2 linked regions of the Rattus norvegicus genome follow. The protein of the gene in region 2 interacts with the protein of the main gene of each other region in a biochemical or structural test. Links are inferred from orthologs where the notes say so. Each region holds a gene or a part of one and is shown on either strand. Other genes may lie near its edges. The genes, in order: Cacnb4 and Cacna1a.

Region 1 (16,160 bases), on a different chromosome or scaffold from region 2:
GCTCAGAGGACTGGTAGTTCTGAGGTCTATACTCCTTCTCAGCCCATGCACTTAAGCTGGGCAGAAAGCTCTGGCAAAGGACAAGCCAACAGAGGCTGCACTATTCACAATCCTTGAAAGCCCAGCAGGGAGGGTTCTACTGACTGGAATGTGGGCTGCATGCCCCATCCCCAAGTACCAGCAGGCATCTCCTAGCCTCCAGTGATAATGAGTGAGCCTCAAGCTGCCCACCTGCTTCTGAGTCTGAGGTTTGACAATTAAATCCAGACAGGGCCAACTCTAGGGGAGGCAGGCTTGGAAGACCTGTTGCCCCAGCTAGGAGACTGAATGATCTGGGTGTCAGGGGCGGATCTCTGAGTTAGGAGACAGGGGTGGGGAGCCTTCTACGCCTAGCTACCCAGTGATCTGACTAAAGAACATTCTCCTCGGTTCAGCCCTTGTTTCTTATCCCCTGAGGGAAGGGTAGCATATATAGGTACAGCGCAGTAGGGGCAACCAGAGGAGCCAGGATCAGGTGGGGACAGACACACAAAGCCCTTCATTTTCAGCCTAGCTCTCTACACAGTTTCCTTTAATTTCCTAGGAAGATTACCACTTGATTCAGACCTTATTCTGTATATCAATAAAATCTTACCAGTCTAAACTGGAAGACACATAGTCGTTTATTCTACAGAAACAGAATTTAGGGAACATGTGTTAAGAACATAGGAAAAGAAAGGGCGGGGGTGGGGACTTACAAGTAAACCAATGGATAACTGACCAGCTGCCCTGTAATCAGACCTCCCCATCATTGTTTTCACACATTCAGTTCCATACAAACAGGGTTTGCTGGGAGAGAAGCCGATCCCTTCCTTGCTTCATTAGATTAGATTGCAGTTTGGGAAGCTCCACCCTACAGAACAGTCTCAAAGGCGGTGTGAGTGCTTTCTTAACGTTCGCTGCAACTGGACTGTACCATTTAGGAAGCAAGACCCACTTACAGCACAAGGAAGAGAAAAAAAAAACCTTTCACCTTTGTTGATGAAAACACTTCTTCAGTGCCTACTGTGCTGTAGCTAAAATATAAACAGGGTTCACAGCTCCTCCCATCCCTACCCCAGGCTATAGAATGCTTCCCAGGCTCCCGGGTCAACTGGATCCCACCTAGGCAGCCACCTGAAGGCAAAAGGGAGAAGAGAGATATTTCTCTTCCTCTTCTCTACCCCAAGTGCCTACTCTAACAGAGGCAGCATCTCCACGTGGCTCTTGCTCCTACCAGTTGGATTCCTCTGGGTGCAGCACCTGACAGTTTTCTCCATAGCTTTCTCGAGTAACAGTAAGGGTAACTTGTGGCTGAAGATACGGCTCGGTTGTTACGAGCACTAGTTACTCTTGCAGAGGACTTGGATTCGTTCCCAGCACCCACATGGCAGCTCACAACCATATGTAGCTTCTGTTCCAGGGGATCTGATGCCCTCCTCTGACCTCCTCAGGTACCAGGGAGCATGTGGTACACTGGCATGCATATAGACAAACACCTAGATTGACAAAATAAAGTGAAATAAAAGTCATTTTAAAAAACTATCAAAGGTGGCTTCATGCTGTAGCTAATTTCTGGGTTTCTGATAACAAGGGATTGTCATCTGTTTAAATGTGTTCCTATATTCAAGTCCAAGGGGGTTGGGAGGAAATACAAGTAGTAAGAGTGTGGCTAATATAATATTATTTGTCTGTTTACTAGTTAACAGATAAAGAGATAATTCTTTGTGAACTGTGAACACACAAGCAAAAAGGACCATCCATGATAGAATTAATAAAACAAAAACAAAAACAAAAAACAAATCCAAACCAACAAACACACACAAAAAAAACCAAACAAACAAACAAACAAACAAAAAACAGGCAACAGGCTCCAGACCCTCCAAATGATACTTTGTTCTTCTAAGCATCCACACAGAATAAGGTCACTTCTAGAACCAGGGCCAGACCTATAAGCATGGCACTGGGAGGCTCAGACAGGAGAATGCGCATTCCAAACCAGCCTGAGCTACGTAGCAACTCTCTATTTCAAAAGTAAAACAATTAAATAAACTCCTGAAATAAATGAGTAGTCTGGGTTTAAAGAGGAACGAACCCCATATGCCCTTTCATGACCTACAAATCTGTGTCCATCTTCATCACCGAGGGTTAGAGTGTTTGGTGGAGAAAATAAGAGAGCCAAGGCTGCCTCACTCTACCTCTAGCAATGTGACCTTTCTGTCCTATGCCGGGCCGATGTTCTAGTTATCTGGAAGTAAGAAATCAGAAGGTTTTACTTCTGCAATCTCTTCCTGTTCTAAAACTGTGTGATTCCGAGTTTATGGATAAATTTGGCATATCTACATGCCTCTAGGCATATGATTATTCTTAGAGCTGTGCACAAAGCAGATACCTTCTGTTGACGAATTCACATTTCATCAGAGAAATGTGTCTGTAACCAGCACCCAAATTATAACCCAAAGAATTTCCCTGCCAACTTGTTTTATTATAGTATCAACTCAGAATCTGCATATGTTTTCCATCTCTAAATACAATGTGGGTTCATTGAATCATTGTAAGGATCATCTGATTAGCATACCTCAAAAAAAACACGAGGTTTCCACAGACAGCAGCAACTCCTGTCTTCTGTCCCACGAGCTCTTATTTCTAAATGTGATGTCATTATTTTATTCTATGACTTACCTTTTCACTTCGGTGTACTTTGAATAAATGCTTAAATGTATATAAATGTATACATACATATATATTTATTTCAGAGTCTCAGTGCAATATAACGCCTGTTTTGAGGGCTTAGTAGATAATTTTCATTATGCCATTATGCCTGTGGCACCTCTTTCTGTTTTGTTTGTTTTGATTTTTGTTTCTTGTTGTTTTGTTTTAGATCCAAGTCTCACTTTGTTATCCAAGCCGGCTCCAAACTCTGAGGCTCAAGAGATTTGCCTGCTTCAGCCTCTTCAGTAGCTAGGACTTCAGGTACACATCACCACTACACCAAGTTCCCTCCATCCTTAAGTGAGAGCATGCTTAAAATTCACCAAACAGGACCCCTGAGATGGCCCAGGAGATAAAGGGCTTACTACTAAAGCCCCATGACTGGAGTTCAAACCCCAGAAAACACATCAAGAAGAGAAACAGTTCCACTAGGTTGTCCCTTGACCTCCACAAGTCCACCAAGGCTCACGTGCACGTTCACACATGCATGTGCAAGCTCACACACACACACACACACATGCACACGCACACGCGCGCTCGCGCACTCGCGAGTGCAAATATTTTTTAGAAAATAAAATTAAATACTTCTTTGTATACATGGAACATTTATCCTTTATTTTGCCACATAAATAGAATAATTTTAACTTATTTTGTAATATGATATTAATGCTGAGTTTAGTTTGGTTTTACCCATTTCTTTTTTCTCCCATGGAAATTGACCTTTTCACTTCATCAAAAACACTCCTGGGCTGGAGAGATGACTCGGCCATTAAGGCCACTTCCTCCTGTTTTCAGAGGGGTCAGGATTGGGTTTCCAACACCCAAATCAGGAAACTCGCCATTGCCTGTAATTCCAGCCTCAGGGATCTGATGCCTTCTAGCCTCTGAAGGACCCTGCACGCTCATGGTGTACATAGAGGCAAGCAGGCACAGTAGCGTTCATATAAACGTTAAAACATGAGTAAATACGCTCAGCCCCCGAGAAACGCACTTGCTGTCAATCCTCACGACCTGATTTCAAGCCCGGGCCCCACAGGGTAGAAGGAGGGGCTAATTCCTTCAGCTTGCTCTCTGATGTTGGCATGTGTGCTGTGACGTGCACCTGAGAGCACGCCACACTAAACGTGTTTCTTAAAGTTTGGGAGACATTGTTGGTTTGCTTGTTTTTGTTTTTTAGATACCTTCTGGGGAGTGGGGGATGCAGAACTGGATAGATCCTGAGGCTGGCCAGCCTTTCTAGCCTAATCAGCAACTAAATCCCTCATCCTACTGAGGCCTTGATGCAAAATGCAAGTTAGATGGCTGCTGGAGAACAATACTTTAGGGTCATTGCTGACCACACACACACGCGCGCGCACACACATGCTCGCACACGCTCGCGCACGCGCACATGCACACGCACGCACACATGCGCACGCTCACGCACACACACATGCGCACGCTCACGCACACACACACACACACATGCGCACGCTCACGCACACGCACACGCACGCACACACGCACGCGCACACACACACACACACACACACACACACACACACATGAACACACACTCATATACATCCGTACATACACACACAGAGATACTTTCCCTTTTCTCTCCTTGAAATGGGGTAGGCTCTTTAAGTCTATTTGACGTCATGCAATACAAAGGAAGTGGTGTATTGCACTTGAACTGAAGTCTAGGGCAGCTGCCGATGCCCTCTTCGCTCCTTGGGGTGGTCCAGCTTAGACTACAGTCACCATATCACCAAAAGGTCCAAAGAGCCACGCACGCCACAGATGGAGGAAAACCGAGCGCCCTGCCAAAAGCCCCGGCAGAGCTCTCAGCCAGTAGCCTGCACTGACTGCCAACCACATGTGCGAGGCTATTTTGGACCTCCCCGCCATCCCTGTGCCCACGTAACATCCCATAAGCAGAAGAGCTGTCTGGTCAGTGCGCAGAAAGAAATCGTTTTAAGCTACGGAATTTCCGGGTAGGTTTGTTAGGGAATAATTTCTTCCTTGCAACAGAAATTCATCCCCAAACCCATTCTCTCCCTTCATTCAAATGGGCAGGCATTGCAAAGGAACAAGGCTTGGTGCCAAGGAGCAAAGATAAAGCGCAGACATTCCTTCGCCCTCCCGATACTCAGGTCGGTCAGGGGATAGACAGTAAGAGAGACCTAAATCCATCTTGAACTGCAATGGAGACATGCGACTAAAAAATGAGCACAGGTACTCTGTTCTAAAAGGACCTACTTAGAAAACTGATCTAGTCAGGGAGTTTAAGAAAGGAAATAAGGCGAATTCCTAAGCTGAGGCAGGAGGATTATCATAACTTTGAGGCTAGCCTGTGCTACAGAGAGAGAGAGAGAGAGAGAGAGAGAGAGAGAGAGAGAGTATTAAAAAATATACCTCCACAAAATCGAAACTCTCAGATCTCGAGGAGTATCGAGAACCAATAGGCAAAGAGAAAAGTAACGTATTCCACATGGGTGGTCAGCATGTGCAAAGGGCCTGTGGCAGAAAGATGTCTCATTTTAAGCTCTGAATCCAGACATAAGAGATTAGAGCTGGGGATGATGCTGTTACTGGGTGGAGGCCAGACCCTTTAAAGGGATTCATAAAAGTTACTCAATACGAAGAAAGCTAACTAACTCAAGTGCGACGAGGACTAACTTAACACTCTGCCGTTCGTGACACAGGTGCTGCGAGACCCCAGCACTGTAACCCTCAGTGCACACACTCCCTGGTTGCCATGCATGCCTGCTTGTCACCCATTGGTCTCCACAACTCAACAACCAAACCTTTGCATACAAGATCTAAGCCTCTTCACTCTTCTCCCACAATGTCCAACAGAGCTGGCTACAAAGCAAATGCTAACTTCTCCAAGATGTGAGCCACAATACATGTTTGTTCCATAAATGGCCTATCAGAGACCTCCTGGGGAGGAAAGCCCTCCCCACGACAGCAGCACTCACTGAAGTTCTTACTGGAAGGCATCATTCCCCTCCAACTCAACCAGCTCTTGGATTTCATCTGGGGTGTGGCCGGAAGACGCCCTCAGACTATGCACTCTTTGGAAGATCGTGGTTAAGCCATTTCTGGATTACCTCTTCCTTTCTCTCCTGTCAGTAGCAAACTGTGTCTTCTTACCTTTCCTCAGAGATGCCATTTAGTGGTGCTCTGGATTCGTTCCAAACCCTCATCTCTCCTAAATTGTAGGTGCCAGCAATGTAGCAGACAGGGGAAATGACAAAGCCCAGGTGACGCTTAGGGATGGCAAAGCCTCTCCTCGGTCCATGACAGAGTGTTTAGTAGCAATAGACCCACGTATGTAGAAACTATCAACCACATCTCGCTGGTCCTGGTGTTCACAGCCTGACACTGCCCCCCTCCACACACCTCAGAAGACTAGCTAAGACCACTTCTTTGTGCCAAACATAATCCTTTGGGCAGTGTTGGAAGTGACCTCTATCAGGGTGAGCAGAGCTCATCCAATCCTAGCTTTTCTGCATGTGTCCCTGTCATCTCCTCACTGTCTGTCATTCCTTCATTCCCAGTCAGGTTTCCAGGACCAAGCTGCATAGGACCAGGCAACCTCTCTTCAAAAGTGCTTGGATGGCAAGGGCTCTAATCTGGTGAGTGGGTTAGTCCATTGATGAACTCGTAGCTGATTGGGGCTTCTGAAGGTGGTGGAAATTGTAGGAGGTGTGGTGTAGCTGGAGGAAGTGGATCTTTGAGGTCATGCCCTTGGAGGGTTTATATTACCTCCAGGCCTCTGCTTCTGTTCCCAGATCCATCTTTCTGCTCCAGCTGCATGAAGTCAGCAGCCCTCCCTGCCACCTCTCTTTGTCGTGACTTTCTGTCTCATCACAGGCATAGTCAAGTGACCACAGCCATGAAGCAAAAATAAATCTTTTCTCCTATAAGTTGATTTTCTCAGTATTTTATCTCAGCCATGGAGAACTGACTGATCTAATTGGTCTCCTTACTCTCTCCCGTAGTAAAGCAAAATAAATGCGAAACACCACCAGGAAATCCCATCCCTTCTAGTATCAGGAATTCAAAAGCTGGAGAGATGGCAAATGCACTTGCTGACATCTTGACAACTTGAGCTCCGTTCCCTGGGCTCACAGGGGGACGGAGAGAAGCAAGTCTATGAGTTGTCCTCTGACCTCCACAAACACACAGTAGCGACACACACACACACACAGACACACACACACAGAATATCAATCAATTAAGATAATTTTAATTTTTAAAGTATTTAAATATTAATAAATTACTGTCACTCTTTAAAGGGTTCTATCAGGGTGTTATGCTTATATATATATATATGTATATATATATGTATATAATTTAAAGAGGTCTGTACAATGCTGTTTAAATTAGATTGCAGGAGTTTACTGTGCTATGAAGTTCTCCCCCAAAATAGATATTGTTTCTGTGCCAAAATTAAGAAAATTGTTTGTTACAATTAATTCCTGAATTTGGACCGTTTTATGAAATCAGTATGCCCACCCTCAAAAATATTTATGAACTATATTTATTCTCAAAACCTTCGCTGGTCCAAGTAGCTCCCAAAATTGCCATTGCAATATTTTTCTCTGTTAAGCGTACACACAGCAGCCCACTCTACAACGTGTGTGTGTGTGTGTGTGTGTGTGTGTGTGTGTGTGTGTTTGTAGTTTCAATCATTCACTGATTAGGAAATTAGGAAAAATATTCGAAAGGACATTGCTTTGTTTGGGCTCCGAATGTAAACTAGTCCAATGATAGTGTAAATTCAAAAGTATTAGTCAAACCACTCACTGAATGCGTTAGTGCATAATTAGTAGTTCCAAGAATCTGCAACAAGAAAGCCCTACCAAAAATAAGCATCTACGAGATAAACATAAAGAGCTCAGCGTTGCATAACTCAAAAAAATATTTTAAGCTGAGCAATGGCTTCCCCTTATCAAATACACAAATAACCCCCGCTCTACAAAGAGGGTGGGATGTTCTTTCAAACTGAATGCAGAATCAAATGTGTTTAAATACTGTACCGGCTTGGAGCACACCACACTGAGCTACAGAACGGTAGCCATAATTTCTATTTCTGCAGGAAGTACAAATGTTCGTGGAAATATTACCCAAATATGCTTTATAGACCTTTTAAGCGCTGTCAGAGTCCAATTTTGAGTCTAAATCGTGTTCTACTTTGAAAATATGCTTAAACTAATTATTAAAAAAAAAAAAAAAAACCACCGCGGCTGCCATAGTAAGTTGGAATCACAGGACACTAGGTTCTGGGTGACCTAGAGAGAAAAGTGTTTCTCAAGGTCGCTCCATGACAGAACCTGGGATAAAAGCTTCTTGGGGTATTGACCAAAGTCTTCCTAAGTCTCCAGGAAGGAGCACACTCCAGAGAAGGATCAAGGTGAGCCGCTTCTGTATTCCTTCTCCAGCATCCAGCTCCAGAGGCACTGGGTAGTGCAAAAACAAAGGGTCGATTTCTTTCCTCAAGGTGACAGGCAGCAGAGGACTGCGCATTGCTAGCGACCTGTGGTTCGAACTACTTGCCTCTCTGGCCACGAGGAAAACACGGGAAAGCCAGCGCGAGGTTCAGGGCAGCCAGACCCTGGGAACTGCGCCCGCGCTGTCTTATTTAGGTCTCACTAGCCCGCTGTCCCCGTCAGTCCGTGATTACGCGAAATCGATGAAACGGTGCCAAAACGAGACTAAACTTTTCTGTTCCAAGTGTCTCTCTTTTGGCCAGAACTCAGAGAACTCTCTCAAAAATGTGAAAGTATTCAAAATAGGACAAAGGTTGGAGAAATCCTCTAACTCTCACAGCGCATCAAACCAGGTCGCTCACGTCCCTCCGTGCAACGAAGGTGGGCCAGGAACACTTCTAGCTCCTAAATGGAGTGTCCCCGGCCAGCGTCCCTTTTCCTCTCCAACACAAGTACACAAATACAAACTAACTTCCCGGAGCGACAGAAAGATGTAGGGATGCGAACACTGGGTAGCCAGGGAACCGGGAGAGGGAAGGAGTTGGAAGCAGAGGTAGGGGAGGCTGGACCCCAGGACCGGGGAGCAGGGAGCAGAGGGACGAGGACCGATCCCCGACCGGCGCGGACCGGACTCGCGCTCCCGGGCAGGGGACCGCGCTGGATGCGGGCTCCCGGCGCCCGGACCTCCTACCTGTCTGAGGATGAAGCTGGTGGAAGTGGTGCTGCCATCGGATCTTTTCAACCTGCTCCTCCGGGTCGTGGTGCCTCGGGCCACCTGAACTCGACACACCGGGGCCACAAAGAAGCCAGTGAGGACCGCAGCGCTGAGCTGAGCGGGCATCCGGGGCTGGAGTCCTCCTTGGGAACCGCGCCCCGGGGACCCCCAGAACCCCTCGTCCTAGTCTCCCCGGCGCCTCCCAGCGCCCCCACCCCCATCCCCTCACCCCGAGCTGGGTGGTCCCGAGCACCCACCACATCCATTAACAAAGCGTCGCGGGTGCGGGGTCTGAGTCCCCGGCATCGGCGACAGGAGGCTGCGGACACTGAAGCCCGAGCGCTGAGCCCGGGAGCAGGCTAGGAGGAGGGGAGGAGGAGGGGGAGGAGCGGGCGGGAGGCGCGGAGGAGGGAGCGGCGGCTCGGGACCAGCGCCCCGCACTCGCGGCACCAAGGCGGGGCGCGGGGCGGCGCGGGTGGAGGAGGGGGCGGTACCTGCGAGCTGGGGGAGTGCGGCCCGTCCGCCGCCCCGTTCTTGGCGTAGGAGGACGACATGGTTCAGAGGCGCCGCATGGCCCTCGCGGCGCGGTGGGCGGAGGGCGCGGGCCGGTGCGGGCGGAGGGGGAGGCAGGACTTCCCTACCCGGCTCCTGGCCCCGCGCCGGCTCGCGGGCCGCCTGCCCGCACTTCGCCGAGCGCCGCACCTTAAAGGGGCCGAAGCGCTCCCCTCCCCCCTCGCGCGCCCTCAGGGAAGTCCAGGCGAGGGGGCTTCTCGGTTCTCGCCTCCCCGAGCCTTGGGGAGAAGTGCTCTCCCCACCCCGCGAGCGCTCTACAGCACAGCTTTCCAGAGGATGGAGGGAGGGGAAAATCTGAGATGGGGGTGGGAGGATTAAAATAGTCTGCACAGTTTAAAATGAGACAAAGGTGGCACGGTTCATGAATCAGGACTTGGGGAGGGAAGCTGGTGCAGTGTTGCAGGGAGTGGGCAGAGCGGAACGTGTTTGTGTGTGTGTGTGTGTGTGTGTGTGTGTGTGTGTGTGTGTGTGTGTGTGGGCAGAGCGGAACGTGTGTGTGTGTGTGTGTGTGTGTGTGTGTGTGTGTGTGTGTGTGTGTGTGTGTGTGTGTGTGTGTGTCCGTCCGTCCCAGCACTCGAATTTGAAAAGGACAAGACTGACTCCTCCTTCGGAGACTTTCCTCATCATCCCATGGTGGTAAGGCACTAGGTTGTTGGCGTGTGTGTGTGTGTGTGTGTGTGTGTGTGTGTGTGTGTGTGTGTGTGTGTGTGTGTGTTTACTTTTTATTAGTGGGTTTTTTCTTTTGTTTTTGTTTGTTGTTGTTTGGGCAACTCTACCCTCGGAGATACAAGTTACACACACCTAGGCAGGCGTGGGAGAGCCTGCCAGCCAGTTTGACTGGAGATGCAGCCCCACCGAGACCAGCCTGTCCTAAGGAGTTTTGAAGGTCACATCAAACCTGCTAAAAAGCAGGAGTTGACCACGTGCCTCTCATTTGTATAGCTGTTTCCAGGAGAAGAAACTCATCCTAAAGCCATACACAAGCTAGCTTTCTGGTTACAAACACATGCTGTATTTGAGATCAATTGAAGGCCAGGGAATCCTAGAAGGAAGAAATTTGAAGTAATAAAAAGAGGTGGGAAATATGTGAATTAAGAAAAAATTCTAACTATAGTTACGGTTGCAGCGATGCCTCGTTAAAATAGACATAAAATTACTACATCAGCCCCCCTCACCCTGTGTTCTGGCATTTTACTTATTAAAACAAGCACCACGTTTATTTTCCCATCTATTACATACTTTCCTTACAGACCCTTTCACTTCGTCTAAACTTTGGGTCCTAAAACTAGTCTTGCCTCCAAGTTCCCTCTGGCACTCGTGCACTCGTGCACAGGCACACACACACACACACACAGAGAGAGAGAGAGAGAGAGAGAGAGAGAGAGAGAGAGAGAGAGAGAGAGAGAGAGAGAGAGGGAGAGAGAGAGACCATCTACACACAGGCAAAGCCATTTCTCTAAAACCACTTTTCCTCAACTTGTTTTCTGAGGTAAAGCCCAAATTCTTGTGATCCGAAATCTAGGCTTCTTGCTTGCTTTAGACATACCCACACTCCAAAACTCCTCCCTCCAGATTGATTTCTCTTTGCAAACCCAGAGCAGGGAGATCCATTTACTGCTCTTTCCTGACCTGCAGTCTGCTTCAGCATCATAGCTCTAGAATGCGTCCTTGGCATCTGCCGTCCACACCATCTAGACAGCACCCAGCATTCTGAAATCCTGCTCAGCTCACTCTTTCTCCACAGAGAAGAAGATCCTCCCTGACCCTTGCAGTCCTGGATTGTCCTGTGCCTGAAAAACTGGAGCATTCATTCTCTAGATATTTGCCACAGGCTGTCTTACTATATTAATTCTTGCTTTTGTGAAAATCTAATTTCCAAATTAGCTCGGTATCTGTGTAGTTTCCGTGTAGTAGAAACCCCTATGAAGTTCCTGGGTAATGGATCCCTCCACTGATGTAGACAGCCCTCACCTCCAGCACCCCCATTAGTTGCTGTCATCTCATTCTGGTCTTAGTTTGGAAGCCTTTTTTTAGTTGACACTTCATCAATACACACAGACTAAATGGTTTGCGTAGGCTCTGGCTTCTCCTTGCCCAGTTGCACTGAATAATCAAACCGGAATCCACACCAGGAAGACAGCATGAATTGTTCTGTGCATCTGCCTCTCAACAAGGGCAGTGAGAAGTACGAATACACTTCTAGCAATGGGCGTAACAGGCACACCTCGATGCAAAAAGACGCATAAGAAAATCTACAGAACCCCAGGAAGAAAAGTGTGAGTCTGTGGCATTTCAGCCAAGCTTCCTGATTGCTCCCGTTCTGATCAGAGAGGGAAACTCCACCCCATGCAGGTAACACAAGGCTCCCCCTCATCTGAAGCTCCCAGGGTTTTTTTTTGGGGGGGGGGTACTTTCCTGGGAAAGATACTGCTATTCTTCCCCAACTACCTGTTGCTGAAATTAAGTTTTGAGTGAGCATGGGAGGGTAGTATAGGCTGCCTTCTGATAACCCCATTCGTGTGATGGAAACTTTATGTTGCTTACAGCCTCGTTGAGAGTGCAGGGTTCCTGATGGAACTAGTTTTGGGTTCATGAAGAGGCAAGCTATCCTTTTCTAAAATGATGCCACAGTGGTTGTTTAGGTGAGACTGACCCCCATAGGCTCATATATTTGAATTTTGGTTCATACTTAGTGGAACTATTTGGAAAGGATTAGGGGGTGTGGCTTTGTTTGAGGAGGAGTGTCACTGGGAGGTAGGCTTTGAAATTTCAGAAGCCCAGAAAGGGTCAACTCTTGTTCTCTTTCTGTCTGCAACCTTTGGGTCAGATGTGAGTTCTTGGCTACTACTCCAGCACCCATTGATGCCACCCTGATCCTCACCATGCTGATCATGGACAAAACCTCTGAAAATGTAAGCAAGCCTCTAAGTGCTTTATTTTCTTAGTTGCCTTTTTAAAACTATTTTATAAGTTTTATAAGTATGCCTCCTCACAGCAATAGAATATCAACTAAGACAGTCGGAGAGAATATATCATTGTTCCCTCGCGCCAGGGAAGAATGACATTGGATTCTTACCTCTCACAGTATAAAAAAAACAAAACAAAAAAAAAACAAAACAAAACAAACAAACAAAAAAAAAACCCAAGATGGATCAGAAACCTAGATGAAAAGCTAAAAATGTAAAATCATTAAAACAGAAAGGTAAATCTTCGTGATCTCAGATTCGGGAATGGATTCTTAAACATGATATCAAAGCACATGACAAAAGAAAAACAAACATATTGGACTTCATCAAAATAAAAGATGGTTCAGTGGTTAAGAGCACTGGATGCTCTTCCAGAGGACCCTGGTTCAATTCCCACCACTGCCCACAACTTTCTGCAACTCCAACACTTGAGGATCCAATACTCTCACACAGAGATGCATGCAAACAAATTACCAATGCACATAAAATAAAAATAAATTATACATCAGTGACCAAAAAAGTGTGTACTAACCATCATTAGGAAAGTGCAACAAACTATGATTTTAAAACACGTGCTGACATTTTATTACATCTTAACAGTATTAACAGATTAGACCTTTAAGAGAATTTTTTGCCACAAGGGCTCCACTCTTAGAGTGGAATTGATGCCATTATAAACAGTTACTTTTGACTGTGGGATGGCAAACCCCATCCCTCCACTTGATGCCCTGTCTTTCTATGCTACGGTGTGCTTACAAATAGGAGCCTATCATGACTGCCCTCCGAAAGACGCAACAAGTGGCTGAAAGAGTCAGATGCAGATATGTGCACCCAACCAATGGATAGAAGCTGGTGACTCCTGTGGTTGATTTGGGAAAGAGCTGGAAGAAGCTGAGAAGGACAGCTACCCCATGGGAAGACCAGCAGTCTCAACTAACCTGGACCCCCTGGGATCTCTCAAATGCTGAGCCACCATCCAGGCAGCAAACACCAGCTGATATGAAGCCCCTGACACACATACAACAGAGGACTGCAGGATCTGGACTCAGACAGAGAAGATGCACCTAACCCTTGAGAGACTTGGGACTCCAGGGAGTGGGGAGGTCTGGTGGTGTGGGGACATCCTCCTGGAGATGGGAGGGAGATATGGAATGGGAACAGTCAGAGGGTAGACCAGGAGGGAGATAAAGACCATTGTAAAAAAAGATAATAATGATGATGATGGTGGTGGTGGTGGTAGTGGTGGTGGTGACGATGACGATGATGATGATGATGATGATGATGATGATGATGATGATAGTTACATTTGCTTCCATTTGCTGTATCATGGCCCTTCTGCCTTCAGCTATGTGACGACACAGAAGGTCTTCACTAGGTCGTGGCACATTGACCTTTGGCATTCCACCTCTAGAACTATGCAAAAACCAATCATTTCCCATTATATGTTATATAGTCTCATATATTCTGTAGTGATAACACAAAACAATGTGAGACAGCTACCGCCTTACACCGACTAGAATACCTACCATAATATTGGGCAAGGAGCTGGAGAGATGGCTCAATGGTTAAGAGGACTTAAAGTTCAGTTCCCAGCACCCACACGGTGGCCGATAACCACCTGTAACACTGGTTCCAGGAGATCCAATGTCCTCTCCCGGCCTCCACTCTACTACACGCACACAGTGAACAGACATGCATGCTGTCAAAACACCAATACATATAAAATTTTAAATCCTTTAAAAAATATGCTGAGTGAAAAAAAAATCCTAAAAAAATCACGGATTAGTATGATTCCTTTTCTCTGAAATATCCAGAATAAGTAAATCTGCAGACACAGAAAATAGATTAGAGACTGCTTAGGCAAGTACGTGTGGAAGCCTGCCTTGGGTGTCTTCCTCAGATGTTCTCTCCACCTTAGCTACTAAGGCAGAGTCTCTTGCTGCACCTAAAGATCACTGAGTCAGCTAGGCTAGTGAGCTAGAAATCCCGTCTCTGCCTCCGAGCTCTGCTTTTATATGGATGCTAGGAATATCAATTCTGGTCCTCACGCTTGTCCAGGAACTGTTTTATTCACCAAGCCACATGCCTGGAGTCCACGGGATTTGTTTTTTTGGGTGAGCTGAATATGACGAAGATGAATGTAGTGACTATTACACATTACACACATGTACATACACTGAAAGCCACGGAGTTATCTCAGCACCATGGCACACTCAGGAAGCAAAAGCAAGACGATGACTTGAGCATAGGAATTCGAGAGCAGCCTGGGCAGCATAGACTTTTTCTTGAACACAGAAGTCCTGAATTGCATTCTTTACACGACTGAGTTGCAAAGTGTGTGAATTCTATGACAGTTAAGCCATTATTTTTAATTTTCTGGGTCTTAAAGACATAACTGAAAATATATCACAGAGCTAAGAGCAAATAGGAGACAAAGCACATCTAGCACAAAATATACCTGCTCTGGGTTTGATGAGGTTTTTTTAGATACACCAGTTTAAAGCATGACTGATCCAAAAACTTTTTTTAAAAAAAATCCCTGATTTGGAGGCTAAATTTAAATTAAAACCTTCTGCTCAGTGATGGAATTTGGGTTTTGTTTAAAATTCAATCAATACCCTAAAAGTATTTTATCGATTCTTTGAGAATTCTGCACAATGTGTTTTGGTCATGTCCAACCCTCCTTGGCTCCTTCCAGATTGACTGTTTCCCTTTCCCGACTCATGCAACTTTTCCTCATTTTTTCTTTCTAAACCACAGGAGTCCAGTCTGTGCTCTTAGGTGTGGGGTTTGAAACTGATTAACCTAGTAAGAGCGATGTCCTTAAATGAAACTAGCTCTCTCCCAACAGGTCAATTGCCAACAGCTCCTGGGCTATTTCCCCACTGTAGGCTGGACTTTGATTAGCTGGAGCTCGCCTAGGTCTTGTGCGTGCTGTCACACTGCCCTGCTGTATCCAGAAAACACTGGGGTATTGTTGTTGTTTTAAGTCACACACGGCCTCTGGCTCTTACGATCTTTCACAATAACCCTGAGCCTTGGTTGGAGGGTGTATTATCGATAGACATTCTTGGAGCTAAGCATCCTGCACTCTTACTCTCTCCGTCTTAACCAATGGGTCTTTGTGCTAATCATCTATTGCAAGAGGTAGTTTCTTTGATGAAGGTTGAAAGATATACTAATCTAAAGGTATAGCAATAAATCACTAAGGAGGTAATTTAAACTATGTCCATGTACCAAAACTAAGTAATCTCTTAAAGCCTAGGACCTATATAAGCATAGTTAGTGGCCTCGATAACAATGCCAGGTTATGGAACAGAACTAAAATCCCAAGCAGAAAGTTGCTGATTCCTCCAGTACCATCCACCCAGTGGGCACGTTTCCTTGCTGGTCATCATTGCAGCTCACAGCTGGATAAGAGTGATTTCTTGTCTCCTCCGGTTGTGTGCATAGCATATGCGAGCACTGAGAAGCTAACCAGTATTGACAAGGCTCCCAAGTTAGTACCAGATTGATTTCTCCACGGTCTGTAACTCAAGCATGTGGTGTCAGCAATAAGTCTTACTGTCAAGTTGTAGAGAGGAACCGAAAGCAATAGCATGTGATTTTGTGTAGTCTATCAGAACTCATTGGCCAAAACTACACACACACACAAAAAAAAAAGAGTAACTGTTTCCTGGCACTGAGATTTTT
Region 2 (15,393 bases):
TTGAAGGGGTTAAATAAGTTACCAGCTAGTCAGGGAATGAGCCAAAGCGTATGGCCAAGGCGTTTATTAATACATAATTAGCCTCAGAGTTGTCATTCCGGGGGCAGAGGCTGGGGGAAGGAAAAGTTTTATTTTACAATAACACATATGCAAAACAGAACAAAAACCAGGGACCAATGAGACGTGAAGGTGCTGGCCCTGCAAACCTGGTGCCCAGTGTTCAGTCACCTGAACCCACGTGAACATGGAAGGGGAAGGACTCTGGGGTCTTCTGACTTCTACACGGGAGCCATGGCAAACACACATCATACATACATGCAGTAATGGTAAATTAAACCCAAACTCAAATCCCATCATCACCAACAACAGAAAAACATCTGGGGCTGGGGCTTAGTGGGTGGAGTGCCTGCCTGGCATGCGCAAAGCCAGGGTTCATCTCCAGTACTGTCCACCCGGACAAAACCCGAGCTGTTACAAGCAGCCTGTTCTAGCTCAAGCTTCACCCATTCTCACTGTGCCTGTGCTAAGAGGGTGCTAAAGGGCTATTCTCAAGCGTTTGAGAAACTTATAAAGCACTTAGAATGGTACCCAGCATTAGGTGCCACTTAAAACATTCGTTTAGTAAAGAATCAAAGTTGAACTTCTGAAAAACGTTGCCGTGCAGGACTCCAGAGCCTGCACCTTGTGGGGCAATGGTTAGAAACAATTGTGTCACATGGTTGTGTAGGTCGTGTAGGTTGGGTATTGTACAAGACAGCCATTTCTAAAGGACACCTCTCCTGGCATGGCAGTGGTTTTCTCTCAATGCTCTTTTCTGGGGCAGTGCATTGACAAGTTTTTATCTTCTGTGAGTGAAGCAAGGGGGACTAGTTTTCAGCTTTGGAAGGCTGGTACTGAAGGGATCTATTTCCCACTGTCTGTCCCGCTCCCACACAGGGGCGATACACCCCTCCGCCCCACGAGGGGGCTCTACCTTGCCCCACCCCACCCTCCTCCGGGGCGATACACCCTACACCCCGCCTCCATGCAGAGAAGTTGGCCCCACTCCTCCTCCTGTACTCACGGGTTGGTGGTGGAGAGGATGAACATGGAGCTGTAGGGCGGCATGGGCTTTGGGCCATCCTCCCCGGGGTCTGCCTCCTCTTCCTCCTTCTTCTCTTCCTCTTTCTTTGGCAGTGGGTCTGGGTTGGCGTTTTTGTTTACTGTCGGGACAAGAACCAACACGAGTTCCTCCATGATTTCCCACAAGGCTCTGGGCTCCTGGTCTACCTGGAGCTGACACTAAGCACAAGGCGTTTGAGAAAAAGCTTCTCGTATGCCAGGCATCACTGGACCCTGAGAGGTTGGTGCCCACGACATCTGCCTGACAGAGGAGGGGATCCAGGCACAGAGAAGGGAAGTGGCTAATCTAAGGTCACACAACCGGGAAGCAGTGGGGCTGGTGTTGAACTGGGCAAGCACTCTAGGGTAATGGAGACCCCGTTCTCTTTGACTTCTCTGATGTTACCGGGGCCTGCATGGGGCAGCTGCCCACAGCCCTGGTTCATAGAGTAGAAAACTCAGCGGCCTGTGAGAGCACCCAGTCCCGACTGTGGTTCCTCCCCTTTGGGCGGGCTCTTGGGTTCTGTGTAGGTTGTTTGTGGATTGAGTCTCTTTGGGACTCCATTTCCTCATCAGAATAGCAGTGCACTGTCAGACCCTCCGCTGTGAAGTCAGCCACTGCAGCCCACACAGGTAATCCTTGCACAGGAGAAAAAGAGGCTGGAGGATCACTTCCAGTTTGAGGCCAGCCTGGGCTACATAGTCAGATGCTATCCCAAAACATAACAACCCAGAGCCAAAATCTGACTGGCTTCCTACAGGAATCTATGCCATGCTGTCTTTAGGGGTCAAAGCCCCAGGTGACGAGAGAAGCAAGGCTGATCCAAACAGGGCCACACTGGTGTGTGACACCTCTGGTTGCCACTACTGTGAGAAAAAGCAGGCAACGCTCTTTAGTGTGTGCTGCAATGATGACGCTGCGGAAAACTGAGGAGGACACTAGCATCGTTATTAACAATAGAGATGGGGTCTGGGCTGGCCTTAAATTCAGAAGGTAGCTAAGGGTGGCCTTGAACTTGTGAACTTTCTGCCTCCACCCACCTTGACTGAAGGTTGTCTGTGGTGCTGGAGTTTGTGCCAGGCACAAATACTGTACCAGCTGAGCCAGATCCCAGCCCCCTCCCGTTCTTACTGAGCCGCTGGACCAATTACAGAGGATGTTTCCAGATGTGCGACACGCCTTGGACAGCAACAGTGTACCTAACCTTTCGAGCTGTGTCCAGCCCCCCTCCCCCTTTCCCATTTGGGGATTTCGTTCTCCATCACGGCAGTGTGGGGTCTGTGGAGGGAAGGCAGGGTGCAGAGAACAGCCACAGGCTAACGTCACTGAAGGCTACCACAGGGTCTTCCTCTCACAGTGAGCTTGGACTATGGCAGAAATGGCCCAGGCAACCCTGCAGCTCCTCACCTTGGACCACAGTGTGGTTGAGGGGCGGGCAGGCCGGGGGGATCTCCACCGCCATGTGCTCGGGTTTCCTGGCAGTCTTTGCTGAGTTGGGCTGGGTGCTGCTGGGGTTGGTGACGATAAGGCTGTTCTCGGGAGTCTTGGGGGGGCCGGGGTTGGACGGGTTGCCCGGGTTGTTGGGCGTCCTGCGGCTGGCAGCATTCTGGGGATTGGTGGCCAAGGCGGGACCAGGGTTGGTGCTGTTCCCGATCTTGGCAGGGCTAGGGGGAAGGCCACTGTGGCCCAGGCTGTCGTGGGGACTGGCAGGCTCCCCGGTGGCCAACTTGTTGTTCTTCATGTTGTCCAGGTCCTCAGCCAGTGGCAGGTCCTGGCGGCCCAGATCCTGCTGGATTGGCCTGGTGGTGGACAGGTTGGGACCAGACATGGGGACCCCAGAGCCCTGGCTCTCTCTAAAAGGATCAAAGTGGAAGAGTATTAGGGTCAGTAGGGCGGCCGAAACCCACCCAGGGCTGCAGCACAGTGCAGGAACGGCATGCTGCGTTACTCAGCTCTACTACCCTCGAGGCTCCAAGTTTTACCTGCCCTGAAAAGAAAGGAAAAATAACTACTGACTCTACACTTCACAGAGTGCTGCACTGCTCCAGGCAGGCCAAGCGGTTATGAGATAAAAGGGAGCACCTTCTGTGAACTGGTGAGGACCCCGGCAGAATTCTAACACTGAGCCACACACACCTGCTCTCCTAACTGGGGATTCTAGCTCACACCCCTGCTACTACTGGGGATGTTTTTGCTGGCCCAATATGCAAAGCTCAATCATAAATTTCCAGTTAATCTATCTATCTATCAATCTAGTTTCTCTGTGTAGCCCTGACTATCCTGGAACTTGCTCTGTACACCAGGCTAGCCTCTAACACAGAGATCTGCCTGCCCCTGCCTCATAAGCATTAGGACCAAAGGCCTGCACCATCACCACTGGGCTTGGTTTGTTGTTGTTGTTGTTTGTTTTTTTGTTTTTGTTTTTGTCTTTTGGGACAGAGTCTTACAATATAGCTTCAAGTGTCCTAGAACTCATTATGTAGATCAGGCTAGCCCCAGACTCACAGAGATCCAACTGCCTATGCCTTCCAAGTGCTGGGATAAAAGGTGTGTGAAACCACACACCCAGTACACATTCCAGTTAATTTTAATCCTTAAGTGTCTTCAAGAAAGATTCAAAAGATACAGAAACCTGAATTTGGGCCCTGTCCCATAGCACCCAGGAGAGGTGACTGGTTGTATTAAGCTTGTCTCATGCAGGGTCCCACTTCCAGCCCCCAATGGATTTCTCTCTTGGAGTGTACTCAGTTGAGACCCAGGGGACTGTCCTAGACTATTTGGCGGCGACCATAAGAGTAGCCCCCTTCACTGCACACTTTCTGTACCCTTAAGACTTCGTGCAGTAACAAAGCACCTGAGACTGAAAACAGGATCAACTCCATTCAACAGGACAGGAAACTGAGGCAGAGAAGAGGACATTTGTCCTATGTGAACCAGTTTGGATGGGGCTGAACTGGAATTTGGTCTTCTCTAGAAAGCTTTAACTTCAGCATCACTCAGCAAAGGAAACGAGCAGTGAACAACTTGGGGTGCATGGGATGGAGGTGTTGAGCAATGTGTGAGGGGCCATGTGTTAAAGGCTCACAGTTCTCTGCGACACAGGCAAAGTAAGTAAGCCAGGAAGCTGTGAACTGCAGCAACCCTCTCCATGTACCAGTGGGGAGTGATTGCCATGGTGACAGATGCAGATGGACCTAGGCTGCACAGTTGGTGCGAATGGTCCTCAGACTGGCAGATGCTTGGCAGCTCACAAGTCTGTACCAGGACTCGGGGCATGTGCCTCACTTTGGCCACCTTGGGTATCACCAGGTTCAGCTGCCCTGCATAGGGGAACCGGTGCCTAGCAACCTGTGCACGGTGCAGGAGTAGTGTTCTGGAGATCCATGTTTTAAAGGGGAAGAGAGAGGGGAGTGTGGAAATGGGACTGGGGATGACACTGCCAACATCCCAGACAATGAAACACACGGGGGATGAAATACGTGTGGCCAGAGCATAACCCCACGGGGAGGGAAAAGAAAGGCAGGAGCTCACGGGAGCTCCCAGCTCTCTGAAATAGAATCAAAACGATCCTCAAAACAGAATCTTTTCAACAGCACTTTACTCTGTAGTCCAGGCTGGCTCCAAACTTGTAGCAATCCTCCTGCCTCAGCTTCCTGGGCGCAGGTTTCTAGGCATGCGCCACTGTGTCCAGCTCTAAGGCTTTTGATGTCTTTCAAGGAGAGACTTCGGTATTGTTAATATGGTCTGTGTACACTTACTGAGTCCTCACACGATGCTAAAACACTTGATAAAGTCTTTTTGTTATTTTTGAGACAAGCTCTCTCTATGTAGCTCTGGCTGTCCTGGAACTCACTATGAAGAGCAGACTGATCTCAAACTTAGAGATCCCCTTGCCTCTGCCTCCTGAGTGCTGGGAGTATGCCTGGACAGTTGATAAACTCTTACTATAATTCACCGTTTCACATTACAGATTCTGTATCCATGGACTGAACTGATTATAGACTGAATAATTTTTTTTTCTTTTTTGGAGCTGGGGACCGAACCCAGGGCCTTGCGCTTGCTAGGCAAGCGCTCTACTGCTGAGCTAAATCCCCAGCCTGGATAATGTTTTAAGACTATTTTTATTTTACGTCTATCTCTTAGGGCATGTATGTATGTCTGTGTGACAGTGGGTGCCTGGTATCCCAGGGGACCATGAGAGAGCTTCAGGTTCCCTGGAACGGGAGGTACAGAAGGTTGTGAGTCACCATGTGGGTGCTGGGAACTGAACCTGAGTTTCCTGTGCACGCAGGAAGTGCTCAAGTACTGAGCCTCTCCCCAGCCCCAAGACTGAAACGATTAAAACCAACCAACAAATAAATTGCATTGGCCCCAAATGTATAGACCGTCCCCTTTTGTCTCTTTCCTAACAAATACAGAGCATCTAGCTAGGCAGTGGTGGAGCACTCTGGAGGCAGGGGCAGGTGGAACTCTGAGTTTGAGGCCTACAGGGAAACCGGTGTCAGAAAAGACAAAAAACAAAAAAACCCAACAAACCCGTAACAAAACCAACAAAAACTCCAACAACAACAACAACAACCACAGACCCCAGAATGTACCATGGTCTTACCCAGTGCTGGTCCCTGCAGACTACAGTGGTGTGCTCCCTGGAGCAACAGTTGCATTAATGTGGGGATAACCAACTGCTTACTGATTTGAGGGCTGTTCCACAGGAAGGAACTCAGACCTGGTACTGTGAACCCAGTGGGTGCCACAGGCCGTAGTGGGGAGCCCACGGTTATTAGTGGGTTAAATGTCCACTACTTTTTAAATATTTGTTTAGGCAAAGAGTGACACAGAGTGATACTGATCAGACTCTGCACTGCTTCAGGCACTCCGAGCCACCCGGGCATGGTCTGGAGCCCAGAGGGCCTCAGGATGACCCCTAAAGACATCCAAGGATGGCTGAACTTAGGGCTGCTACTAATCCCACCCACGCTAACATTTACTGAGTACTTGCTGCTGGCTTGGCATCGCTCAACACAGTTAATATGTAGTCATTCACTCAAACCTGTACGTTTTAGTCTATCGTTCGCCCTATTTGCAGATGAATAAATTAAGGACCAGAGAGGTACAGGGACAGTCTAAAAGTCACACAGCTAGATAGTGATAGGCAGGAGTATTTCAGCACCAGGTTCTGCTCACGGTGTGACTGACATTCAACGTTTAGAGACTTTCAAAAACTCCAACCACTCTGTAAGGGCCCTCATTGCCTGTGCTTACTGGCTGGATTTCACAGCCTGGGCTAAAATACAGCTGACATGACCAGACCCCGTTTAAGCTCTCACTGGTTGAGAATCCCACTACTCAGTGTGTGGTCCCAGAAGCTGCACTGCTCAGCTCTTGTTAGGAACAGATTCTCATGGCTGCCCTCATGTCCTGCCCAGTCACAAGCTGTGCTGCCTAGGCCTGACACCTCAGATCCCACACAGCGGAAGGAGAAAGCTGACTCTTGCAGATTGAACGAATGCCCCTCTCCCATAGGCCTAGGTCAGGTTTTGTACATACTGAAAAAAAAAAACAAACCAAAACAAACAACAACAACAACAACAACAACAACAACAAAAACTCTGGGATGATACACTCATAACAATACAAAGGTATATCAAGGGATCGTATAATTAATAATAATAATAATAATATAATAATAATTTGAAGGCAGGTTCTCATTGTAGCCAGGATGGTCTTAAACTTGCTATGTAGCCAAGGGTGGCCCTTAATTCCAGATCCTCCTGTCCCCTCCCAAGTACTAGGATCATGGGAGTGACGCCACACTAGGCTTGAGAACAGTATTTTGTAACAGGGAGATAGACGACTCTATCGACAAAGAAGTCCCTGGGCCTCTCTGTGGAGAGTCGCTCCAGGGTCTTCCATGAAGCACTGCAAAATGTAACGAAAAGAGTAAGAGAAAGCCACTACTGGTGCTGTTACGGAAGACACCTCGGTGCAGAGTGGCTTTTCAGACCTCCCCAGTGACACCATCGAGTAGGCAAAGGACCAGCAAGATGGCAGCTGCAGGTGCTGAATCTCGAGTGCTTTTTAGCACCAGTGCCCACGAGAGCCTTGGCGGAGTTTACTTTTTTAACTCCAGCAATGATTCCACCATTTTGGGGGGTCCAATATACAGGTGAGAACACTGAGGCCAAGGAGTGCATTAACTGAAGAGAAAGCAGCAGGTAAAGAAAGCTATACGAAGCTGATGGAGACGCCAGGCTTTTCCTAGCGTACGCGTAAGACACACAATTCGTTAGTCCTATAGCCCAGACTTTTAAAGTATGTAATGTTGGGATGGGATGTAGTTCAGTGGTAGAGGGCCAACCTAGAATCCCCCAGTGAGGGGCTGGCTCTGTTGTAGAATCTTGTTTAGAAAATGAGGCCCTACATCCATCCCGGCAGTGAATTGCATTTGTTTCCCTATCTGTTAATCAGGACTATGGCTACTGGGTACATCCCCATGACTTCCGGTATGCTTGGTTTGGTGACTGTCACCCTAGCTACGGAGAACTCGGTCTGGAGTGAGCTGGAGGTCCATCTGGGAACCCAGTTCCCTCCCGGAGCCCACTCACTTTCTGCGCCGGTGTCTGCGCTCCCTGTCATCGTGGGCCGGCGGCCCGTGTCGGTGTCGCCGCTTGCGCTCCCCATCATCGCCTTCGCCGTCTGCAGCGCGGGCCGGCCTAGTGGCGTCGCGGGGACGCGGCCTGCGCTCCGGTCTGTCGTCCGGTTCGTCCCCGGGCCGGCGGCGCGCGCGGTGGCGACGAGGCTCGCCCTCGGCCACAGGCCGGTGCGTGTGGCGGCGGGGCGCGTCCCCGGCCTTGGCGCGCTCAGGATCCGCGTCCCAGGGTACGTGCTCGCGGGGTGGCGCGTGCTCGCGCTGTTGCGGCTCGCTCTCGCGGCCATACGGGCCCTCTCGTCCAGGGGCGCGCTCAGGGCTGCTGGGCCAGGCGCGCCGCGCGTCGGGGTCGCGCGCGCTCTCGCGGGGCCGCGCGGTTTGGCGCAGCGCTTCTGGCGCACGGCTCTTGTTGGTGTTGTTGTTACGGTTCTCCTGCGGGTCCACCACGAGCGGCCGGTCCAAGTGCGTCTTCACGTCCGGCCGCAGCGGGCGCGCGTAAGTGGTGGGCCAGCGCTCAGCCGCGTCCCCGTACAGCGCCTCGCGGCTAGCCAGCAGGTTCTGCTTGCGCATCTCGCTGGTGCGCTGCTCCCACACCGACTTGGCAGGCTTCTGGTTCTTCTGCTGTTCCTTCCTGCAAGGCAAGGAAGGGAGGTTGTTTGCAGTGTCATGGGTGTGATGGTGGTCAGATAACGAGGGCTGCGACTACTCCCTCCCCCCATCCCCCAACTCCAGTGGGTACTTTCAACTTTTATAACTTTGATGTATGTGTTTGCATGTGGCCGCCGCAACTTTGTGAATGTCAGAGGGCAACTATCTGCAGTCGGTTCTCTCCTCTCACTACGTAAGAGCCTGAATTCAGGTTGTACAGCTTGGTGTCACAAGTCTTTACCCACGGAGTCATATTACCAGCCCTTTCTCTTGGACTGCAGTGTAGGGCAGTTTCACACCTCTGCTTCCCCACTGCTACGAGGACAGGTGTGCGACTGGTCCATTGTTGGGCTTATAGATACAAGGACTTATGCGAAGTGGCAGGAACTTTAGGAGGCGGGTTCTACTTGGAGGAAGTTAGGTGATGGAGAACCTGCCTCTGAAGGGCATATTGGGCCCTTGGCACCTTCCTTCGTCTCTCTGTTTCTCCAGCACCTTGTGCTGAGCGGTTTGGGTTATCGTTAAGATATCCTGACTCACTACAGGCTCCCATTGTCTCGCTAGCAGAGCCCCAGCCTAGATTCTACCGGTGAGGGACTGGGTATGTGGCTCAGTGATGGAGGCCTTGCCTGCCTACCACAAATGAATCCCGGTGCCAGAATGAATGAATGAATGAACAAACCAACAAATGAAGAAGCAGATGATTTAAATGGCAGCACATGAAGTCATGTCTGATCCTTTTCTTTTGGGCTGTGTGCGGCTGGAGTGTACAGGTGGGAGTCATGGGCGTCCCTGGAGGAAAGCAGTTGGCTGCGCATGCCCTTTGGGTAGTACTGGCCCATCGGGAAGCCTACTGTGCCATAGCCACGCCCCTTGGCCACTGCCTCTGATTCACTGGCGAAGTATCTGCTCTTCCCTTAGAATCAGGGGACTCACTTCTGCCACCTCCTTGGCTTTCTGTAGAGCCAGTTTCTGATTGGCTGCCTCTTCCTCTTCTGGTTCACTCTTGAATCCAGCTGCACCCATGACCCTGCCCAGTTCTCTTCTTTTTTGCCTGGGCTAGCCCAGGTTCCTGAGTCTGACCTTCAAGTACATATAAGATCCCAGCCCCCACAGTCTACTACCACGAGAATCACCAGAGGGCATCTGAGTCTGGTCTTGACACTCCACTGCTCAAGAACTCTCTCTGGCTGTAACTTAATCGGGGGCAACAACTCTTGGAGCCAACTCTGCCTCCTCACCCTCTTTTTCCGTGCCGCACTAGTCTCTTTCCTATTCCTGAAACTCCCTTGCCTCAGAGCCTTGCCTCCTCTCTCATGCATTCGAGTTTTGCTTCCTTTTAGGCAAGGCCTTTCCTAACAAGTTTGTTTTCTGGAGGCAGGATCTCATTATCCCTAGTCTGGACCTGTTGGGTCTGGAACTCCCACAGATCTGCCTGTCTCTGTCTCCAGAGTGGGTCGAGTGCCTGGTGCAGGTTTCATGCTCCTCAGCTCCCTACCCCTTCCTGGCTGCTTCCTGGAGGTTCCATGGGGTATAATTTACTTACTTGTCTTGCTTACTATTCATCCTTTCTCTGATTTGAACAGCTATACAAAAGTGCCCCTCCCAGTCATGAATGCTGCCTTCCCGGCAGTCAGGACAGGACCAGGCGCATAGTAGGTGTTCACTAAATACTCACGGAGAGAAAGGGGGCGAGAGGCTCAGCAGTTAGGGGCCACCCTAACTCTCCCCACATCCTTGCCTGGGTGGCAACCAAGGCTTGGGGCTACTTACACAGCTATGGACATGTTGGCTGCAGACAGGGGACTCACTTCTGCCACCTCCTTGGCTTTCTGTAGAGCCAGTTTCTGATTGGCTGCCTCTTCCTCTTCTTGTTCATCCTAGAAGGCAAGTGGGATTCTTGTTCACAAGAACGGGCCTGGCGGGGAGGAGGCGGGGTGTCCACCTCGCTGCCAGCCAGGGGCAAACATGAGGTACTGAGAAGTTAAGCTCAGCCTGGACCTTCACCAATTAGAACCAAGGTCCCCAGTCAGGCTGGGTGGTGAAGTATACTGCCATTCCCTTGTGGCCAGGTTGGCTCGACAGCTCACTAACCTTTGTAGTCCAAGCTGGTTTGGAACTTGAGATGGTCTCAGCCCAGCCTCCCCAGTGCTGGAATAACAGGCACATAAGAGCATGCCTGGCTCCCCCACCTCTGTTCCCCCAACTTTGTTTCAGGTTTGTGCCAGCTGGAACAGAGCTCTGTCACTGAACTGCACCCCCAGTCCCGTGTCTGTAGGTGTTCTGTGCTTTCAAATTGTTTACGTGCTCAGAATCTGTCCCCTTAGACACTGGGCAGCCCCAGTGGCAGAGCCACTGTACCACACTGTCGACAGCCCATAGGCAGTCTGGGATCTATAAGGTCTATCCTCAGCCCCAACTGTGGGAAGACCAGGAGAGAGGGGTGGGCTTATGGGCTTCATGGCCTAGATGGTTGGGAACTTGAAGTCATTTAGCTATGTCTCAGAAAAGCCCTCAATTGCCCAGTGTGGTGGTGCAGGTGGCGAATTAGCCCCTAATCCTAATACTCAGGAGGCAGAGGCAGGCAGTTCTCTGTGAATTTGAGGCTAGCCTGGTCTACATAGTGAGTTCCAGGCCAGCTAGAACTACAAAGTAAAACTCTGTCTTAATTAAAAAAAAAAGAAATGAAAGAAAGAAAAACTCATCATTGGGGGTTGGGGATTTAGCTCAGCGGTAGAGCGCTTGCCTAGCAAGCACAAGGCCCTGGGTTCGGTCCCCAGCTCCGAAAAAAAAAAGAAAAAAAAAAAAAAGAAAGGTTTAAAACTCATCATTGGGAAAACAAAGAAAAAATGAGGGAACAGAAAAAAACAAACCCAGCAATAAGGAGCAATGGGGGTCTTTGTAGGGTGACTGCCCCCATTTTCTCAGCTCTCCTGGCACAGAAGTAACCTGCACCTTAAACACTGTCAGTGACAAGGAGACAGGGCTCCCTGATGCCGGGCACTGTGTCTGGCATCTTTCAGAACCAGGTCGTTGGGACATTGGCCTCAGCAACACTGGAAACGCAGGTTTCTAGGCCCCTGGCAGCACCTCAGACCTAGGGTTGCCTCCGGAATCTGCATTTTCTACAGGCTGCTCGGAGGGTGTGAAGCACATTCCGGTTTGTCTTGTATGCAGTGGAGAAAACCACAAGTTTCAGTCAGCTAGGGTTAAAATCCCAGCATCAACCACTTACTGCTGTGTGACCTACAGTAAGTCTCTCAACTTCTCTGTTCCTCTTCTTCATGACCAAACTTCCAGGACTCCCTGACTCGTCTCACTGCACTATTTCCTTCAGCACCGTCTAACAAACTGGTTTTAAAAATGTGTCTTGATTTCTGGCCTGCCTCTACAACCTGAATCCCTGTCTCCCCAGGGCAGGGACTGTTGTCTGTCTTGTTCACTGTAGCCAGGGCTGTGCTCACTGTATGTACTCATTCCATGATTACAGGATGAGGTATGGTATCTAACCTGGACCTCAGACAAGTCCCTTCCCTCACTTGGGGATTACAGTGGTGTGAATCGTGTGTACCATGGATGAAGGGGAAAGCTGGGGTCTGCAGGGGGATGGCTGCCTTCACTGTGGAGTGTAACTGGCCTGTCTTTCTGTGCCAGCCTCCTGTATCTTGGATGAGCTCCTGGCTGGATCCGCCTGTGGTGACACATGCCAGCCAGATTCATGGTGGCTGCACTCTTGGCTTTGTGCCTGGGGTGGGAGACTTCCGCTTTTCCCTGCTGGAGGTGGGGCCGGGAAATTCTCCCTCCCTCCTGCCAGGGCCAACAGATGGAAGGTTGGCAGTCCCTACCCCTGTAGCCTTCTAGTCTTGGGTTCTGAGGCACTTGGGGACAGCACTGTGAAGCTGGAGCATGGGGAGGGGCTCCAGGGCGATGGTCTCTGTCCCTGACACCTCAAGCTTGTACAAAGTGCAGTTTCTTTATGTTTTCCTCTCCCGGGCAGACACCCATCTCTGAGCACAAAGCCCCCACTCAGCGTCACCCTGTCCTGTTTTCTTTGCATAGTGCATAGGTAACCTGGCTGCTCTGCTTACAGACTGTCGCCACCAGGGGGCGCCAGCTGCTTTGCTGAAAGCAAGGTTACCTCCCCCAGGCCTGACTGACACGGACCTGAGGACAGTTAGGATGCTGGAGGCTGCCCTGAGGGGCGTGTGATGCCAGTTTGCCCACAGATAATTTGGCGTCACTGAGTAGGAATGAAAACCCGGCTTCCTCTCATCCAGTGGCTTTCCTGCCCGAGTCCCCGCCCCATCTCTTCTCCTCTGCCCTTTGTAGGGTTCCATCTTTGCTCCTGTAGTTCCTGGTGTCTGGTACATGCATCTACCCTCCCTGGCCTCAGTTTCCCCACATGTGGAGGGAGGATGTGAGAGTGTGTGTGTGTGTGCGTGTGCGCTGTTTTGAGGGAAGGCAGGTTCTTGCTGTGTAGCACGGGTCTTGAACTTGCAACCATCCTATCTCAGCTCTGTGCTCACAGTCCTGCACCACCACACCCACTGCATGACGCTTTAAGTAGTGGCTGTGGCTGCCAATACCATCTGGCAATAGATTTTGACTTTTCTGACCCTCAGTTTCCCCTTCTCCAAAGGGAGACTAGATTAGATAGAGCCCGGCACCTGAAGCACCACAGTTCCTTACTGTTGTTCCTTGGAAGACCAGCCCGAGGGCATTTCCTCTTGTTTAGTTCCTCAGCACAGGGCCACATGTGGAAGGGACCACAAACCCTCAGGCCCATGCTGTCCTCCCAACCAGGTAACCTCTGTGCATCTTGTCTGTAGCCTCCTATCGACTATCCCATGACATGCTCCGTGTGGAAGTCAGAAGGAGAGCGAAGGGGAGGCATCCCTCGTCACTGTGGCTGAGCCTTGCTAGCTTCAGCTCTGCCAGAGGCCCTACCAAGTCACTCCTTGTGGGTCCTTTGGCTGGTGGCAGTGCCCATTATCCCGGAACTCCTTATTCCTCAAGCCTTTGGGTGCAGCTGAATATCTATTCTCAGTAGCAACTTTACCGTCCTTCCCCTTCTGGGCTACAGACTGTCTTGATCAGGGATGGCTCGGCTCCAGGAGAGGTGCCCAGTGCTCCCATCCCCAGCAAGAGCCCTGACCCAGCCCCCACATTCCTCCAAACCCTGCTGTCATGATCTGCCATGAGCAGGTGGTTACTGTGCCCTCCACCTTGGTGAGTTCCTGGGCGTTGGCCAGGTTGTCCACCGCGATAGCCAAGAACACGTTCAGCAGGGTGTCTGCATGTCGAGTCAGGGAAAGCAGCGGATGGAAACTCACGGCCTGATGGAGCTGACAGAGCCTGGGCATTTGGGTCCCGTCTGCTCCACCCACACCCAGTCTGTCCCTGGCCCCCACGAAGGATACAGTTCCCGAAGAGGGTGAGGACGATGAAGTAGATGGAGAACACCATGCCGCCCTGCACGCCCCCCTGAGACTTGATCCCATCATACATGACCTCATTCCAATCCTCGCCAGTCAGGATCTGAAAGACAGGGACAAACACACAGCCAAGCCCCTCTCAGCCACAACGTCCGCCATGACGGTCAGCCTACCGGAGGCCAGGTCTTCAACCACCCACCTCTGTGCTTGTGGCTGGGGGTACTCAGTCAGGCTGTGGGAAATAGGGGACTTGAGAGTCTCATGGCTCGCTGTTATCCTGTCTTCTCTGCTGTGACACAAGTGTTCACTCTGGACTGAATGGGTCCCTGTCAAGCTCCAAGGCAGAAGCTCAGCTCCAAATGAGTTGTATTTGACAATTTAGCAAGACCCTGTCTCTATCTCTAACAACAAACAACAATTTAAAAAGCAGGGATCCTGGGGATGGAGCTTCGTGGCTGAATCCTTGCCTAGCTCATCATGGTCAGCGGTTATGGGAACTTTGAGAAGTAACTGGGGTGACATGGGGTCATGAGGTTGAAGCCTGTCACCTGCTTAGAGGAGGAGGAGAAAAAGGGGGGAGGAGGGGGGAAGACGAAGGAGGAGGAAGAGGAGGAGGAGGATGAGGAGGAAGAAGAGGAGGAACAGGAGGAGGAGGAGGAACAGGAGGAGGAGGAGGACAGAGGTCTGAAGATGTAGCTCAGCAGATGTAGTGAGTGTAGAGCACTTGTCTAACATGTACAAAGCCAGGACTCTATCCCCAGGACCACCTAAACCAGACATGGTGGCACGCACGCCGTTATACTAGCATGGGGGAGGTGGGTATGAGGATGAATTGAAGGACAGCCTTAGCTATACAGCTAGCATGAGGGTAGCCTGGGCTATATGACTCTCTCTCTCTCTCTCTCTCTCTCTCTCTCTCTCTCTCTCTCTCTCTCTCTCCAGCTAGCATGAGGGTAGCCTGGGCTATATGACTCTCTCTCTCTCTCTCTCTCTCTCTCTCTCTCTCTCTCTCTCTCACACACACACACACACACACACACACACACACACTTCTGAGATGAAGGAGCTAAGATGTTTAGCTCACCCATGGCAGTGCACAAAGGTCACACACTGGCGGGGGACAATTCCTCCATGATGAGCATGGAGAAAACTGAGGGGATCAGGCTTTCTATTCACTTGAGCGCAAGTTTGTGCATGCATGCGTGCGTGCGTGCGCGCGCGTATGTGTGTGTGTGTGTGTGTGTGTGTGTGTCGGTGTAGAGTAGGCCTCACTGTACAGACTGTACTGCTTTGGGCTCTGTGGTGCTGAGCCGAGCAGCCGGGCGGGCACACTGTGTTAGCACTTTGTGCTGTGCCACAGATTCCTGCCCTGGTCAATCATCTAATGTCCTTAAAAAGAAAGTTCTCGTTCTCTCTCTCTCTCTCTCTCTCTCTCTCTCTCTCTCTCTCTCTCTCTCTCTCAGCCATATTTTATTTTTAATTATGTGTATGTGTGTGAGTCTCTGAGGGTTTGTGCACCAGACTGTAGGCGTCCCCAGAGGCTGGAAGAGGGTGTCAGG

The links.
Region 1: the proteins of Cacna1a (region 2) and Cacnb4 form a complex in vitro, tested with the Homo sapiens proteins (2 studies listed by BioGRID). The link is inferred for Rattus norvegicus from reciprocal best matches to the Homo sapiens genes CACNA1A and CACNB4.

The regions. Positions count from the first base shown.
Region 1 is NC_086021.1:57,568,540-57,584,699, forward strand, and holds the start of Cacnb4 (voltage-dependent L-type calcium channel subunit beta-4), read right to left. Parts: upstream 9,733-16,160; 5' UTR 9,483-9,732; coding exon 9,423-9,482; intron 9,374-9,422; exon of another isoform or gene 9,195-9,373; coding exon of another isoform or gene 9,186-9,194; intron 8,989-9,185; coding exon 8,905-8,988; intron 1-8,904. UniProt on the Homo sapiens protein: The beta subunit of voltage-dependent calcium channels contributes to the function of the calcium channel by increasing peak calcium current, shifting the voltage dependencies of activation and inactivation, modulating G protein inhibition and controlling the alpha-1 subunit membrane targeting.
Region 2 is NC_086037.1:40,497,333-40,512,725, forward strand, and holds part of Cacna1a (voltage-dependent P/Q-type calcium channel subunit alpha-1A), read right to left. Parts: intron 13,938-15,393; coding exon 13,820-13,937; intron 13,693-13,819; coding exon 13,625-13,692; intron 10,280-13,624; coding exon 10,173-10,279; intron 8,383-10,172; coding exon 7,708-8,382; intron 2,956-7,707; coding exon 2,510-2,955; intron 1,203-2,509; coding exon 1,064-1,202; intron 1-1,063.